Mus musculus: one gene and its partner. The protein of the gene in region 2 interacts with the protein of the main gene of each other region in a pairwise test. Links are inferred from orthologs where the notes say so. Each region holds a gene or a part of one and is shown on either strand. Other genes may lie near its edges.

Region 1 (9,077 bases), on a different chromosome or scaffold from region 2:
CCATGGCAACAGGTAATACCTTAGGTGACACATTAGCAGTTGCATCCAGGGAGAAATAGCAAAAAGAGGATTTTCCAGGGCCAGACAAAAGGCCCACAGAGAACTGGGATAGGTTCTAGCCAATTTCTGCCCACAGTCAGTGGAGTCTAACAGCTGGCTGTCCCATCATCTGCAGACAGACACTCCTTAGAGAAGTCAGAACAAAGACAGCCAGTGCACGCAAGCCCTCTCCAGCCTCTGTGTCTTGGGATGGATTTGTGCATGACCATGGATGTGTGCAAAATATGAGATCAACTATGTTCCATCTCCAAAGAGAGAGAGAGAAGTCTTCTTCAGCATGTCTTGCTCTTCCAGGCAGCACATTCATTCCTTATATAAATCCTTTTATTTATTTTATTTTATTTTTTTAGATTTATTTATTATTATAAATAAGTACACTGTAGCTGTCTTCAGATGCACCAGAAGAGGGCATCAAGTCTCATTACGCATGGTTGTGAGCCACCATATGGTGCTAGGATTTGAACTCAGGACCTTCAGAAGAGCAGTCAGTGCTCTTACCTGCTGAGCCATCTTGCCAGCCTCGCTTACATAAATTCTTATAAGTGAATCTGTAAGAAAATTCACTTTTATATTGAAAAATTATTTTAAAAACCCTACTGTGACAAAAGATAGAAGGACAACAGGCCAGCACACATGGGCCAGATAGAGTCAGGCATCAGACAAGACACGACAAAAGGAATCCATCTGAAGCCATTTCTGGGGATCTGGATGTGTCTCCCACTTTTCTTCCCACCTGGGCCGGTGTTGGGGTCTCTCACAGGGTGGTCTGGGCTTTACGGTTTGGAGAGAAGCACCCCTGGAACTTTGTGAACCAAAGCTGGGGTTCCAGGGCTGGGTTCCACCACACTAGAGGACACATAGACCAGCCCCATGGGATGTCTCAGTGGCTCTTATGGCTGTCATCAATGGGTCACCTTCCATCTTTGAGCAAAATGTCAGATTTGGTGATACAGAGATTGGAAGCAAGAGGTTAGATAAAACCATATCAAATCATTCTACTAGAGCATTGTTTAATATCTCAATTGCACCGCTGTACATACAATCTAGTTTTCAAAACATAAAAAGAGAGCCAATCTCATACAAAGACACAAATTCTTACTCCTAGCTCACAGTGCACCACAGACTTAACCGTAAGAATCAAAACTGAAGCCGGGCGTGGTGGCGCACGCCTTTAATCCCAGCACTTGGGAGGCAGAGGCAGGTGAATTTCTGAGTTCGAGGCCAGCCTGGTCTACAGAGCAAGTTCCAGGACAGCCAGGACTACACAGAGAAACCCTGTCTCGAAAAACCAAAAAAAAAAAAAAAAAAAAAGAATCAAAACTGAAAACCTACTAGGCGCTGGGATGGCATCTTCATGACATGGGGTAGGGTGAAGTCTTCTTATATATGACACAAGACAGAAAACAAAAATAAAAGCCAAAAGCAAGTAGACCTCATCAAAAGTTAGTTGGCTTGTGTCAAATATATGTGAAATTCGTGTAAGTCAATAGAAAGATAAGCAGTAAAACTTAGGGCAAGGGACTGAGCTGTAACCTCTCCCTCTCAGCCTGAAATCTGGCTGGCCAGGTTTGACTGCTAGGAGAGCATCAGGGGTGGAGCCTGCCACCCTATCGGTCTGCCACTCCCACTGCTACTACCTGCCGCCTAGCTGTTCTGGAGCCAAACACGTGGTCACCTGCAACTGGACTCCAAGGATGATTTGGCGGGAATGGGCCCCTCCCCCTTCTTCATAACCTGCTGTCTCGGAATAGTAAAATTGAACCTTGATCAGACTGATTGATGTCTTGGTTCCATTCTCTCTCGTGCCGCCTAGTTCCCTCTTTTCTTCCAGATTCCAAGATGCTTCCCAGGCTAGAACCCAGACACGTGGGCCGCTGGCGGCCTCAACTGTTAGCGGTGGAGTACTGGACTAGCACACTTGAGGTCCTGTGATCAATCCCCAACACCACCAAACAGCAAAAATAAAACCAGAAAGGCCAAGAACATGAGCAGAGAGTCCTACAAAGGAGACGTATACAAAATAGCCAAGACAGTGTGAAAAGACGGTAGGCACCGAAAGACCACAGAGGTTGGCCCGATGATGGTGACTGCGACAGAACAGACGGACAAGAAGCTCCAGCAAAGAGAAGAGACTGTCGGTGGTGGTGTCAGATGGTGACATTGACTGGAAAGCAAAGACTAAGGTTAATCAAGTCTACCCAAGAATCTGTCACATATGGTTTCAAGACAGGGTCTCTCTATCTGTGTATCCCTGGCTGTCCCTGAACTAGCTTCATAGAACAGGGTGGCACTGAACTAACAGAGATTCGCCTGACTCTGCCTCCTGAGTGCTGGGATTTAAGGCATGCATGGCCACCACCGCCACCGCTCAGCTTAAACTCGGTTTCTGTACGACCCAGCAATTCCGATCCAACTCCCACACAAACACTCTCCCTAGGCAGCTTATGCAGCTTTATCCATAACAGCTGAACGTAAGAACAGTGCGAACAGCCGGGAACAGCCATCAGCTTCTGAAGAGGCCAAAATGATTCGGTACACACGTCTGCAGGGTGTGTGAACCGGGTTCTGAGTGGCCTCTCTATCTCCTCACTGAGGTCCAGGATGGTCCCCACGGTCACTAACCTGCCATTTGATTTTCCACCAGGTGCTCCAGGGGCAGCCGGATGGAGTCGTGTTCCACTGTGCAAGTGATAAAATGGGGCCTGGTCCCCTCTTCTGGGCTGTGCTGGTCAACCATGTTCCCCTTCAGGGTCTGCTGTTCATGGAAGCATCTTACCATAGAGTGGATTACTAAATTATTTGACTGCAGAGACACAACAGAGAGAGAGCCTTCACCAAAGCTGCCAGTGGAGAGAGAGGAAGCTCTCAATCGCTCATTATTCTCCTTCCTGCCTAACACAGCAAAAGGAAAAACCCAGAGAAAACCAACCTCCTGACAGGCCTGCGCCTTCAGACAGCTCCGAACATTAAATACTCTAGAGCTCACTTCAAGTGTGTCTGTTTTGTTAGTAAGCCCAAACTTTCATATTACATAAATCTGACAAGAAGAAGAATTCTACCCCACGCTGGAGGAACACAAGCTGGAGGGATACACAGGCACAAATATAAGATAAAAGAAAAAAATAAAAAATCAAATTAAAGTTAAAATATACCTCTGCCATCAGAGCGCAAGCTATTCCACACAGTATTTGGCCCCAGATCCTGGCCAGCAGAATCTGCCTCGGAGTTTCTTTTCTCCCCAGAGCCTGTGAGTCACCTGTTCTGCCTCAGGGTACATTATTCCCAGTTAGCACTAGCATTTACACTTCTGCACTGGTCAGGAGAGGCTGGGAAGGGTAGAAAGCCCTGGGGCTTCCCTCATGGCCGCACCTGTGTTCAAATCTGTAGTGGCTATTCCTGGTGGTCAACTTGACTATATCTGGAATTAACTACAATCCAGAATTGGAAGGCTCACCAGTGATCCTAATCTGGAGGCTGGGAGATAGAAGTTTCTGATCTGGATCTTGGTATAGAGATCTTGAGGCATAGTGGCTATGAATTCCAAACATTAAGACAGGGAGACGTGTGAGTTCAAGGTCATCTGGGATTAAAGGCATGGTGGTACATACCTTTAATCTGGGCCACACCTTCTGCTGGAGACCTACATAAGGACGTTGGAAGAAGGAAGATTTACACTCTTTCTCTCCTTCTGCCTGCTTGCCTTGTGGGACTGAGCAACTGCTAGATCCTTTGACTTCCATTCACACAGCTGCTGCTGACCATTGTTGGGAGTTGGACTACAGACTGTAAGTCATCAACAAATTCCCTTACTATATAGAGATGACCCATAAGTTCTGTGACTCTAGAGACCGCTGACTAATACAAAGTCTCTGACTCGTTTGCTGGCTGTTATCCCCCTGTGAGTTGTGCGAGTCCCCCAGCTGTCCTGGGTGCTAGCTGTTGGTCAGCTCCGTGAGATGAAAGCCTTTTTCAAATGCTCTTTGACTTTCCTTGAAGTATTCTCCGATAATGCAAAGTTTATCTGTTACTGTTTGCTGGAACACAATTCAGTGTCTCCCTGGTTGGTTTTGGCTCATACATGTGATCTTCCTGCCTCGGCTGCCCAGCCCAATGCTCTCCTTTAAAGTAGACCCTATCCACACTTGCTTTGAGAAACCTTTCGTTGTCAGACACTACAGAGGTACTGAGGCAGCAGCTAAGGACTTTCTTTTTCTTTTTTTTTTTTAAAGATTTATTTTATTTATATGAGTACACTGTAGCTGTCTTCAGACACACCAGAAGAGGGTATTCCATTATGGATGGCCGAAAGCCACCATGTGGTTGCTGGGAATTGAACACAGGACCTTCGGAAGAGCAGCCAGTGCTCTTAACCGCCAATCCATCTCTCCAGCCCCCAGCTAAGGACTTTCTAATGTCACTTCTTGGTCCCATCTCTGCTGAACAGCAGAAGTTGACTCCTGGGTCCAGTGGCAGCACAGTTAGGCAGGGTTCCCTACGATCTGCCCACTCACTCACATGACAGTCTTATGCCCTACTACTGTATGGACAATGGCTGTCCAGGCCTGTCCTGAGCAGGCAAGATGTGTGGCCACCTAGTCTCGCAGCAAGTGTTCGCACTGACACACTGTCTCTGACCAAATGTCTATCCTTGCTAAAGCTGTCTGCGTAGCTATGGGAGCTCTTACAGTCTTGGTTTGGGGAGTGTCCACCCTTCTCATTGGGCAGCTAATCTTCCAGAAGCCTTGACTCTTAGCTTCTACATGAGTTCATTTGTGAGAGTTCATTGTCAGAATTTTAACAGAGGCTGTACTGAGTCAGCTGATTGGTTTTAAAAGAACCCACATCCTCCAATCTGCAAAGCAGGGTCAGAACTTCTTAGGAGGCCCCAGGAAATGTCTGTCACCTCCCTGGGAGGTCTCACCAGTTCTTTTCTACTGGATCTATTTCCTAAGTGACATTTTTATGTCCTGGTCAATGCCTATTACAGACACAAAACAAAACAAAAAACAAGAAGCAAAAACCAACCAACCAACCAATCAACCAACAAACTAAAACCAACCAACCAAACAAAAAACCCCCAAACCAATTGACTTTTAATCTAAAAACTGCTGTGGCTGAAGTAACCTGTGATCCACAGCTAACAACTGTTCCTGATGTGACCCCACCCCTACCCCATCATTGCCTTTTGGTAAAGGCAGCAGCTTTACCTCGGTGCCCCCAGAAGTGAAGATGATGTCCTGGGGCTTTCCACCTATCATCTTGGCCAGGCTCGCTCGAGCTGCATTTATAATGTCCTTGGCCTTCCTACCTTGAAGGACAAAAAACATGGTCATTACTAGCAATTCCACATCTAACAGAGCAACTAGATAAGGGAAGCCAAGGACTGGGGTGATTCTAAAAGGAGACACACCCACTAAAAGGAGCACACTTTCCTACCACTTGGTGGGGCATCAGCAAAGGGGCCACATTGAGAGACTTAGGAAGTCAGTGCCCACCACCGGAACTCAGTGAGAGCCAGGGGCAGCTTGGTTGGGGGGAATCTAGGCTCCCCCAGCACAGCTTTTCTTTCTTACTGGATGCTAGAGGAGGGGGTGCTATGGCTAGCCGCCCACCTTCCCACCATTCATGATAGGACAAGGAACCACAGAAGTAACCAAACAGAACATGAGGCTTTACACACCCGGTCAGCCAGTGCCTTCTCTCAACCTCAGGTCAGCCTTGGGAGACACAGGAGGAAGGTTGGAAGCATTTGCCTTCAATTAGGTGTCCTGGCTGCTGCCCAGTTGCACTGAACACTGTGTCAGAGGAAGGTGGCTCTATGCGGCTCTCAGCCAACATACCAGTGGTCCCTACATTTGATGCTGGGTCCAGACCAGCTTTCCCATGCTGCCCAGTAGGCCAGAACCTCTCCCCTTCTCCGCTCACTTCCAAATGCTGTTGGCTGTTACAAGCAAGGCCACATCTGGAGCACTCAAACTCTTCCCACAGAACCTCAGCACACATTGCTGTAGATTTTAAAACCTAATACTGTGACACACTAAAACATCTGTGATGAGCTGGGGTGGTGGTACATGCCTTTAATCCTAGCACTCTGGAGGCAGACACAGGTGGATCTCTGTGAATTTGAGGCAGGCTTGGGCTACAGAGTAAATTCCCGGAAGCCAGAGCTACACAGTGAGATCCCATCTGCCTTGAAAACAAGACAGGCAAACATTTGTGATTCATGATTTTCACTTTTCTTGGCATTTCTACTCAAATATCAACAGAAAGCAGCTGGGATGTCACCCAGGCCAGCAACGGTCTCCCACTGTGTGCCCCACTTCCTGTTGACCCTTAATCTTCTTGGCCTTCTCTAGTGTACCCTAACAGAAGTTTGACTATACTACAGGGGACATTAGGCAGATGGCAATGTCCAGAAATAAGGCAACAGACAAGTTAATGGGTGACTAGCATCTGATCTGGAAAGTCTGTGTCACTGAGTTGCTGGGGAGCTTTCAATAAGCAACTGCTATGACCCACCAAACCCCTTACGGAGGGACAGAGGTACCAGTAAGACCTGGTGGCAGATCAGTTAGCTTGGGTCATCTTTAGTCCCCTGGCTGGCACTCATTTCCCAATAAACCATCATTAATGTGGCTTGTCTTAGTTACCCTAATTACACAGTGCAGGGCTGGGTGCGGGGCCCTTGCCTTCTGCTGATAAACATTAACTAGGAAGGCAAAGCATGATTAGCCTCCAAGTCTGTGGAGAAAATGTGGAATGCTGTCTTTTTGACTACTGACTTGAAGCAAATTATCATCCAAAAATGCAAAAATTTAAAACTCTACACCACAAAGGCAAACTAGAAAGAAGTAAGAATATAATTATAAGCCTGGCAGTGGTGGCACATGCCTTTAATCCCAGCCTGTGGGATGTGTAGTTCCTAGCTAGGATATCATACAGGGACAGAAGACTTTAAGAATCAAGTCAGGTATATAATTGTAACATGATGCTAATTTACATAGAAGACACTATGTAGACTTTAGTGACACAATGCTTAAAGATTAGAACGTAATTATTTTGTTTCCATTTTTCTAAAGTGTGCTTAAAAAAAAACTCTTGGGAATTCTGTTAAGCAATATAGGCATTGTACTAACTTTAAAGTTGAAAGAAAAATGAAAGTCCACCCCATTCCCAAACAAAACCATCTCATGTAAGCATACACTTTATATACCCCCACCCATTTTTGTTTGTTTTTTATTTGAGACACGGATTCTCAGTTTAGGTAGCCCTGGCTGTCCAGGAACTCACTTTGTAGACCAGGCTGGCTTTGAACTCTGAGAGCAGTCTGCCTCTGAGTGCTGGGATTAAAGGCACATGCCACCAAGTCAGGTTAGTATACACTTTCTCTAAGAGGCTTCTGGTTCCCTTTATTGTCATGGATTCTTCTAGATTACCTGACACATAGGAGCTGCTGGGGTTTCCCCAGGCTTCCTTCATGGCCTCTGTCACAGCCTGGATGACTTCGGGCTCTAGAGGTGTGGTGGCATTATAGTCCATATAGACCTTCCTGGAAGAGAGAATAGCCTGTAAAGTTTGGGGAGGCAGAGTATAGCAGCAATACTCTTTTGGGGGACCACAGTGAGGGTCTTCTGCATCTAGAGTGAAGGCCCAGGTAGGCTATTAGACCTCAGCTCTCCATGTTCTCCCTCCTGATGGGAGACACCATGGTTTCCAGTCACCCAGTAGCTGCCCCATACAAGATGGCCATAATCTCCCCTAGCATGAGGCTGACTGATGGCTGGAGGCCAGAGATGCGGCCCAACTCCAGGAAGGGAGGGAGGAAGGATCTGCCAATGGCTGGGGAGTCCCACATTCCCCTGGGTAATTTCCCAACAACTTGGAGCCATCTGCCCCTTCCAGTCCTCCAGGAACTGCCTCTAGGAAGGAGCTTTGTACTCATCTTTGCTGGAGGCTTCCCAGGGCTATGGCTGTCCCCTCCCTGGCTTTTACTGGGCAGGTCTCTCCCTGGGGCAACTTGCATTTTCAGTTTTTCTTGCCCCACCCCCACTCTACCTAAACTTTTTAAAGTCTGTGCTTCAGCAGATCTGTTTGGATGAGGCTCCAGGGTTCGATTGGAAACTGTAGGCCGCACGCAGCCTGGCCCTCTTCCTTCCCTCCCTCCCTCCCTGTCTTCCGCTGTGGACCCATTCATCATCTGACCCAAGAGTCACATGCTTAGTGTCCTCTCTAGGGAGCAAGTGATGAGCAGCTCCAGGAACAAGCAGGCTTTGTCTTCCTATGTAGGAACTTCATCCACAGGACACAGAGTTCAAAGCCCCAGAGACCCTCCCTAAGGAGAGTTATCTGCTTGTGTTCTCACCAGGGTCCCAGACCTTCGGAAATCTCTATGGTAGGCAATCGGGCCTGAAAACAGTCATTATTTCACTTGGTTTTACATCAAACCAGTGTTCAAGCCGATGCAGTGGTGAGCCAGCACACACTGCCCAACTATGTCCAGGGGAGCACGGCAGAACAGGCAGGAAGAAGCTTTCATCTCCTATCTTTGCTTTAAGTGCCACGCAGTCACCTGATCTTGCAAGGCTGGGCTTTGTAATGTGGACCTACCTGACCACCCTGGGGCTGGAATTCCCATTGCCGCAGGCTTTGCCTGTGTCCCAAGTCTGTTCCTTCCTAGAAATAAAGAGCCCCCAAAGTGCTGCACACCCATAGGCCTGCCAAGTGACTGGTTTTCCCATCTATAGCTTGGCCGAACTGGTTTATGGTTTGCATTTTATCAGCGATTGACTCTGTTATTAGCGGGCTTCCTAGAGAAAGTGAAACTGCTTAATAAACGTCTGGTATAGGCTCAAGCCACCAGGCTTAGGCCTTTATGAGACAGGTTCTCACTGTGTGATCCAAGCTGGCCTCCAAATCACAATCCTCCTGTCCTCAGTGTTGGGATTATAGGCAAGTTCCACCATATCGGAGAAGGCAGGAGTAGCCTGGACTACATATCGAGGCCTTATGGGGCTGAG
Region 2 (9,077 bases):
TTCTCCATGAGCACAGAGATGCTACAGGCAAAGTGCTGCCTACTCATGGCTTGGAGGATGCTAGCCAGGGAGGGAGGGGGCACACTACACTTATATGTCCAGCGGTCTATGAACCTGGGAATAAGCAGCAAGTAAGATCTTAAAAACAAACAAAGTGAAATCCTTTTAATAAAAGTCCTCACTGGGAGCCGGGCGTGGAGGCGCACACCTTTAATCCCAGCACTTGGGAGGCAGAGGCAGGTGGATTTCTGAGTTCGAGGCCAGCCTGGTCTACAAAGTGAGTTCCAGGACAGCCAGGGCTATACAGAGAAACCCTGTCTCGAAAAACCAAAAAAAAAAAAAAAAAAAAAAAAAAAAAAAGTCCTCACTGGGAAGTGAAATCGGGTATGCAGTGATCTTCATCATCAACCTGACTGGGTTGGGAATTACCTGGGAGACTCACCTTTGGGAAGATGCACCCTGAGTGTGGATACCACCACCCCAGAGTCCCACACTGAATAAAAAGGGACAAAGAGGAGGTGTGCTGAGCACCAGCTGTCATCTCTGCTGCCTCAGGATGTCATGTGACCATCTGCCTCAGGATGCCGGTGACTAGCAGTTGCCTCAGGCTCCATCCTCAGAGCCAGCCCTCCCTCTCTGCCTTGATGGCCACAGCCTCAACATGTGAAACAAGCCTTCCTCCTCCTCCTCCTCATGTTGCTTGTGATTTGTTTGTCCCCACCGGAACTAATACAAATATCAGAGACAAGGCTATCTGGTTTCTAATCTGCTACAAATGACAAACAACCTCCAGCATGGTGCCACAACCCTTAGCTCAGGGGTAGGGACTTCTAAAGAGGCTCTGGCAAGCCGGAAGTCTCACCCCTGGCCCAGATCCTCAGGCACAGTACAGTCACCTTCATAGCTCTGCATCCTTTACAGCAAGCAGGCCAGCATCCGGTGTAGCAGGGCAGTGCAGGGGAACTCAGGCCACACAATAGCCTATATGTATAGGCATCCATTCAGGCAAGCTCAAAAATGTATCTCACTATACTGTCAACTTGTGACAACTTGTCTAAAACCCTTTCTGAGCTGAGGGGAGGGGCTGGCTCAGTTGCTAAAGTTCTTGCCTGGTAAGCTACAGGACCCACATAAAAAAAGCCGGACATGGGGCAACTTACATCTGTAACCACAGTGCTGGGCACGGGGCGGGGGCAGCAGCGCTAGGCAGACCCCAAAAGCTCACTGGCTACCAGCCTAGCCAAACGGTTCAGTGAGAGATGCTGCCTCAACAAGCAAAGGTGTAGAGCCATCAAGGAAGACAGCGGATGTTGATCTTCAGCCTACACACACACACACACACACACACACACACACACACACACACACACACACTCACTCGTGGACGGGGACACACACACACACACACACACACCCTCACACCACACACACTGATGCAAACAGATACAAACACACAGATACATACAAACACACACACACACGCACACACAGATGACACAAATCCTTTCTTGCTATGCCTGGCGTGCCATAAAATGCAATGCACAACAGTGAGAACATGCAGCCCCCAAACCAGGCTGGCACAGAGCCAGCTAAAGGCAGCACCAGGGTCCCGGGATTTCCTAGGAGGTTGCTATTCTGACCGATCCCCCATTGTCCGGGCAAACAGCTTCTAACCTCTTTATTGTTGTTTTGTTTTGTCGTTGAGACAGCCCTGGCTATCCTGTATCTCACTATGTGGACCAGGCTGGCCTCAAAATAACAGAGATCCACCTGCCTGTGTCTTCGGGTTCCATCCTTGTCTCCCAGCCACTCTGGGATGAACCTGACTACCCAGGTATCAGCTGAACAAGACTCCTGAGTTCCCTGGTTTAGACAGTAGCTCTTGCAGCAGTGGGATAGTAATCATTTGCGCCCGGTTTTCAAAAAGGATCCATTCTATGTGAATGTCTGTTTCCTACATGTATGTATATGTGCACCATGTATGTGCAGTGCCAGCGGGGACAGAAGAGGGTGTGGGAGCCTCTGAAACTGCAGACAGTTGGGAGCCGTCATGGGGGTGCCAGGAACCATACCAGGGGCCCTTGCAAGAACGCCAAGTGCTCAGATCCACAGAGCCATCTCTGCAGCCTCTGACTCCCAGGGCTGATGCCCTGATAAACATGCAGGACACAAGAAGGTCACTTTCCCATCATCAATCCCACTCCACAAGGTCCTGCCACGTCTGCGAGACATCACTTCTAGGCCTTGGGATTGAAAACCAAGAAACAAAACCACCAAGAGCTCCCGGGAGCCAGCCAGAGAGCTGGGGCAGGAGCGAATGAACGCAACCCCTCGGAGGTACCTGCTGTTCCTCATGAGAGAGTTCTTCACGGAGCGCACAGCGTGCGGGAAGCGCTCCTGGCTGTACACTACCTTACCCCACATGAGGCAGATGACTCAGAAAGTGGTGCAGCGTTCTGGTTTATTTTTATTTAGGAACCAGCAGCTTCGTACTTGGCTAATAGTCAAACATGCTTCACCATGCTTTTTATAGATAATGAGAATCTAAATTACTTTAGACACAAATAAGCACAGTAACACACGCTCTTCCTATCTCAGCACCAGCAGCAACCATCTGGAGAAAGGCAAGCACCCCAGGGTGCCAGGGAGGTTCCAACGTTTCCCTGGTCCCTACCGGCCAGCCAGAGAGCAGCTTGCTGGTCACGTCTCCTTTGTTCAGTACAGACTCAGTTCTAACTACCTTTTTACAAAATGATTCTAAGCTCTTGGCTAGCCTAGGCTACAGAGTGAGACCCTGCCCCAGAAACTCTCCTGTACAAGTGTGAGGCCCTGAGTCTGGATTCCCAGAGCCCAAACAGAAAAGCCAGGTGTGGTGGTGTGTGCCTGGACTCTCAGCCCATGTACAAGGGGGAGACGCAGTGCCGCCCCCCCTCAAAAACACTAAACAAAACAAAACCCCCAAAACAACAACAAACAAAAATCCCTCCTTAAAGGGAATTGTCTTCGTTTTACAAGAAGATACACTTTTTTGCTTTTATAATTTGGTGCACTTTACCTAACTAACGCCCTCTCTACGCACTGGGTGAGTTAACCGTGTAACTGATAAAAGTTAAAACACGCTCACTCTGAGACATCAGACCGAGAGAGCTCTTGGTACCTTGGCAGCCCGAGCCACATGACCCAGGACGGGGACCAGCTGGCGTCGTACTCGTTCTCACTGAAGGCGCTCGGCTGCTCCTCGGTGGCCTGGGCTGCTTCCTCGGCGATCTGCACTTCCAGGGCCTTGAGGATGACGGCCGGAGACGCAGCGCTGGCTTTCAGCATGGCCACAGCCTCGCTGTGACTTAGGTTGGTCAGGTCAATGCCGTTGATGTTCAGCAACACGTCACCTGTGCCGTTGGGAAGGCCAGGAGAGTGAGTGACCCTAGTACCACGTGACTCCCCGAAGCTCCTGCTTGCCAACTAATTGATGGGGCGGTTTCAAGAGCTTGGATGGGTGGAAGTGGGGTTTTACAAAAGCATTTGTGCTTTTCTGTGCTACCAAGGACAACTCGTAGGAAACATTTTAAAACAGCTTGGAACTCAAACAAGGTCAGACTCCAGAGGAGCACACTGTGGCTTGAAGCACCTTGTGAGGCCCCCGAGTCTGAGTCACCATCTGGGTAGCTGTGTACAGGATGAGGGTGACAACTTCCCTCTTGAGCTTCTGAGAGCTCTACAGTTCTTTCTGAACACCAAACCATCTGATCCTTTGCTTTTAGAAATCACTTTTTTTTTTTAACAGATTCTATTTAATATTACACAATTTTATACATACAGGGCACACATCCCAGATCATGAGAGCAGCCACTCTCGGGACACTTGGTGATATGAAACATCTTCCCTTGCTTGAAGGGGAGCAGCATGTTTGTTGGTCTCCCAAGTTAGATGAAATAAAATAAGATAAAACAAAACAATAAAAAGGAGACACGGGGATTATTAAAGGATACAAGTGTAGGGGGTTGGTCTGACGCTGCTATATATTCAAACGTTAAGTACTGCTCCCCAAGACATGGCTGCCTCCATGAGCAGATCCTCCCATATACCAAGTGATGCTACGAGAACCTTGCTCCCCAATTGGTCAATAAAAGGCTAGAGCCTGTGACTGGGCAGTGGAGGGAGAAAGGTAGAACTTGAGGACCGAGTGAGGAGTCTCAGGTGAGGCCAAAGGGAGGAGAAAAAAGAACACGGAGGTGGTGGCTGCCGCCATGAGAGGAGACGGACCATGAACATGTGGCCAGGAGAAACAGCAAGTAACGAGGGACATAATGGCTGGGATGTAAGTTAGAATCGCTCCAAACCTGCCTAGGCTTCTGGCTTATAACAACCAGACTGTGTCTTTTGTGCAGGCTAGCTACAATGTTTTCCTCCTCTTACATAAAGGGGCTGAGAAAGGTTAGAGTTGTTCAGATGGTAGTGGTAGCATGTGTGTACAGAGAGAACATAAAACTGGGAGCTTGTTAAGCTGGGAATCTGCAGGTTTTTTTTCCTCTTCATTGCACTTCCTGTGTGAATCAGGTATTTGGCTTATTTTTGCTGTTGTGTAGAACAACATTTTGCTCCGTGAACCTGTGCTCGGAGCCCACTGCAGGTTAGGGGACGGAGGCCCCTGTCGGGCTTCATTGTTTGCTGCAGCATGGAGTGGTGGCAGGGCTCCTGCAGTAGCTTGACTCGGGAGCCACTATTTATGGAGGAGTGGCTGTCACAGAAACAACCCTTTTGTATAGTTCTTGAGGAAAGGTGGGGTTTGGATTGTTGTTTTGTGTAACTCAATTTCTGAGAGCACTACAAAAATAAACAAATAGCTGTGGAGTCAAAAAAAAAAAAATCTCGGGAAGCCCTTGTCCCATGTGTGCTCAACAACAAAGCCAAAACCAACCAAAACCCAAGAAGGAACTGAACTGTCACCAAATTCTATAATTGGCCAAGTACCTTAAGAAAAGATAGTAGCCTTGTTGAAATACACGCCCAGCACTGTGGGCTTTGGTCTGCCCGCCGCAGAGCACCACCACCGTGCCCGAGAACATTTTACAGCAGTCTGAGGGCATCAGAACCCTGTCTCTGGCAAGCAGTCGGGTGAGCTGTTTTCCATGCAATTGCCGCCTTAGGAGAAATGTCTATTTCTGTCCCTAAATTAGGTAATGTATGGTTTTAACTGATTTGGAAAAGTTCTGTACAATTCCTTGCTATGGCACGTACACATACATAAATGTATGATTTGTTACTGTTCATCCCACTCTGCAGGTTACCTAAGACATCACTGCCTAATTACAGGCCATAAGACTTGGCCTGTGGGCTCCTCACAAGGGCCTTAGTTTTTACACGGGGTCTTAAATTCATTGTGAGCTTGCTTGTGTGAGGTTGGGGAGGGAGCCCACCTTCATTCCTGGGAAAATAACTTTTCAGCTTTAATTTTCTTCCCATGTGAACCTCACCATAGAGACGGCTGCTCCGTCATGGCAACAGTGCTCACTTATATGGTTTCCCTTGTGCACATTAACAGACTTGAGGGGGCCATGGTGTGAAGGAGTCAAATCTCTGAACTAGCTTTGTCCTCCACACACGCTCTGCAGTGTCAGAACCCTGTCTTCTTTGCTGAGTTCTGGGCTTGGACGGCAGGCGCTTTTCCCTGCTCGGCCATCACACGGGTCCTGGGTGCTTTACTGTACCCAGCGCTGTATTTCAGGGACATGGTCTTCAGCACTATCTGCCAGGGCCGGGGGCGCAAGAATCTCAGAGGCTCTTTTCCAAGATAAAAATCAGCCGATGGTCCGAGTAACTGCAGAGTCTCGAACCACGGTCAGGGTTAATTCCTAACCTTACAGGAGAACACGACGTTTTCTATACAAGGACCCTTTTAAAAGAGTTTTAAAAGTCAGGTTTAACATGAAACACAGTAATTACTCCTTAAAAATGTGACTGTACTTCTGAGATTGGACCTTGCAGAGCTTCCAGGACTCTTGCCTGCCTTACCTCTCTTGATCCTGCCGTCTCGAGCGAGGCAGCCGTGGGGTGGCACGCTGGTCACAAAGATGGGCAGCTCACCACTCTTGCTCCCTCTGCCCCCAGCAACCGTCATCCCGAGGGATTCATGCGGCTCCTTCTTTACAGTGATGTGCTTCTCCTGGCACGTGACGCACCGGGTGAGGTCCTACGGTTCGAGGGAAGGCCTTGCATTTACCTGGAACTCACTCTGGCTGGCCTTGAACTCACAGAGATCCGCCCGCCTCTGTCTCCCGAGTGCTGGCACTGCAGCCTGTGCCACCACTGCCCAGCCAATAGATGGGGATTTTAATACCATGAAACCACACACTATCCACGTGTCTGTCAAAGCCTGCGATCCCCAGTCTCAGTGTTCGCACAGCTAATTCTCTTCCCGTAGGCAACGTGCCTAGCTGCTAACCACGGACTTTATCATGTTCTCACGATGCATTTTTCGTGGTAAATCTGATGATCACATCTGAGCAGGCAAGCCGAGAACCTGCTCCCAGGTAGCACTAAGCACAAGGACTGTCCTGGAGGGTCACTTCTTGTCACTCACCAGACAGATGAGAAACTACAGTGGCTGACGTGGGAGGAGACTCTCGGATTGCGAACCCCAAACACCTAGGCTCAGACCCCCAACAGAATGACAGCCTGCATTTCAGGCTTAAAACAAAAAAACAGACAAAACCCAACCAACCAAACAAAACCAAAAAGACCTGACTTTACGTTGTGTTGTGACTGGCAGGCATACACAAGGCCTACGCTTACACCTTTTTCGGGGTAACGGTGATCCTTAGAGGGCCACAGGGGTTGAAGGAGAGACCCGCCCCTCACCTTGTGTGAGCCCGGTCGGCTGTGCGAGGGTGGCTGAGCGTGGTTGCTGCTGCTGTGTGCTCCGGCCTCACGGCTGCCATTGCTGGGCTGGGGCTTCCCTGGTCTGGCAATTGTTAAGTTCACCCTCTCTCCACTGGCCTGGGGAAGACAGTTCATCAGTACCCATCACGGATGATTGCTTAAAGATTGCCAGTGGAACCCATTCTCTTCTCTCTCATCAAGGCAAGTTCTCACTGAGTAGCCCAAGGCTGGGGGCTCCAGCCTCAGGCCAGTGAATGCTACCACTTCGCAGTGCCTGGGATACTGTGATTTTCTGTGTACCAGTTAGTCCCTCAGCAAAGCCTCATGGGCAGTCACTACCTGGTGGCAGGAGGGTCACAGGCTAGTATTTTCAAACCTTTTACACGGAAACACACAGTCACTCTCACACACACACAGTCATACAAATATACACAGACACACACACACATGCAAAATTAAATTTAATATAAAAATTGCTGTGTTTTCTGCTCTTCAGTTGGAAAATAAGTGACAAACAGCTTTGATACTGCACTAAGCCATTCACCCACCAGCAGCAGCTCCAGGCTCTGAGAGGCAGATGATTGCTACGTCGCACGGTGGGGAGTGTCAGGTGGCTACTGGGCTTTCTTATAATACACGCTCATTGTCATTACTGTTCATACCCAGAGCTCCAAACCAGCATTTCAGCCGTCCTTGGAAACTGCTTTGACAAGTTTACTGGTTGACGTGAACCCTTGCTTTTCTTGAAATGAGGTAAAACTGAGGTGTCAACACTGTACAAACAAGTGCATGGGACCACAGGCTCTAGGAAAACAGTCCACAACACCCTAAGCAAGTGGCACACACACAAACACAGCTCTGTTTAGGGAGTTATATATAACAGTGTAGATTCTGAAGGCTGCTTTTTAGATAACCATGTCTGATTTTCCAAAGAACCATCGCTGGTCCTGGTTATGCGCCAGTGAAAACAGACACGGCCGTGTGAGGATCCAGGCTCAGGACAGGGCATTTACCTGAATAATCTGGGCAGCGAGCTCTGGGGTCCCATGCTTCAGGTCATGCCCGTTGATGGCCAGCACCCGGTCATTGCTGTTGAGCCTGCCGTCCTGTGCTGCCAGCCCCCCTTCCAGGAGGTCAAGAATGAAAACGCCCGGCTCATCTGTCCTTCGGACTAGTTTAATGCCGAGCTGCTCTGTCGAGTCTCGCTTGTGGAGCAGCACCTGGAAGACCTCGTCCCGTGGCGCGCTGCCGTCCGCGTGGCTGTTGGCACGGCTGCCAAAGCGCCTCTCCCGCAGCACTGTCAGCTGCAGCGTGCTGCAGGGCTGGGAAAGCACGGCCCGGGCGTGGTTGTGGGACACGTTGCTGATGTCATAGTTGTTGACCTACGACAAACAGACAAACAGAACTCCTATGACCTTATATGTATATGACATTATAGTATTCTATATTCCTAACTTGCAGAAATGTCCAGATGACATCTCCAAAGGAAAGCAATATGGAGAAAACACTACAGGATCCCTATCTACAAGGAAAAGGCCTCTAAAGACTTTTACAGCAGAGAATTTAAAATGCACTACAGCACAGTGTTGTACTTAGGACACAGAAGTCGGTGACACTCTGGGATTACAGTCCTCGGGTCTGCTAGTTATTTATTGGTAACCTGGGGGAATATGGAATTTGGCTCCTCAGGGTCCACTCTACTTCCCAGAACCAGTGTGAGAGAGAGCAGGCTAGCTACATCCTGGCAGGGCAAGCCACATCAGACAGCTCTAGTGCTCCCAGGCTCGCAGGCTCGCAGGCTCAGGTTCCTGGACTTCAAAGCTGCTTTACCTAACGAAACACACTTACTTTAGACAAAATAAATCATTTTATTTCTTAAAAAGTTGCATATTCTGAGTGACTTTTAAAGTATGTAATTACAATTCCACTCTAATTATCAGCATACTCATATAATGCATATTTAATATGCTGAGTGTAATTCAATATTCATGTACTCATTAGAATGTACAGCCTTGATACAATTACAGTGACTGATCTTTGAACATGTAACATATCACTTAGGAAAATAGTCCAGCTTCAATTACCCATCTAGGAGGTGAGTATAATTTTCGTATTTATCACAATTAGAGTTCTCTGAATCCATCAGAGATAAAAACCAATGTTGTCTAAGCACCTCTAATGGGAGAGCTAAGGGTTAG

Evidence for each region.
Region 1: the proteins of Lnx2 (region 2) and Scly interact in binary tests that used the Homo sapiens proteins (3 or more experiments, as listed by UniProt). The link is inferred for Mus musculus from reciprocal best matches to the Homo sapiens genes LNX2 and SCLY.

What each region holds. Positions count from the first base shown.
Region 1 is NC_000067.6:91,299,060-91,308,136, reverse strand, and holds part of Scly (selenocysteine lyase), read right to left. Parts: intron 9,073-9,077; exon of another isoform or gene 8,734-9,072; coding exon of another isoform or gene 8,668-8,733; intron 7,610-8,667; coding exon 7,497-7,609; intron 5,369-7,496; coding exon 5,268-5,368; intron 2,864-5,267; coding exon 2,683-2,863; intron 1-2,682. UniProt on the Homo sapiens protein: Catalyzes the decomposition of L-selenocysteine to L-alanine and elemental selenium.
Region 2 is NC_000071.6:147,021,195-147,030,271, forward strand, and holds part of Lnx2 (ligand of Numb protein X 2), read right to left. Parts: intron 8,262-9,077; coding exon 7,893-8,261; intron 6,997-7,892; coding exon 6,859-6,996; intron 6,191-6,858; coding exon 6,013-6,190; intron 3,390-6,012; coding exon 3,158-3,389; intron 1-3,157.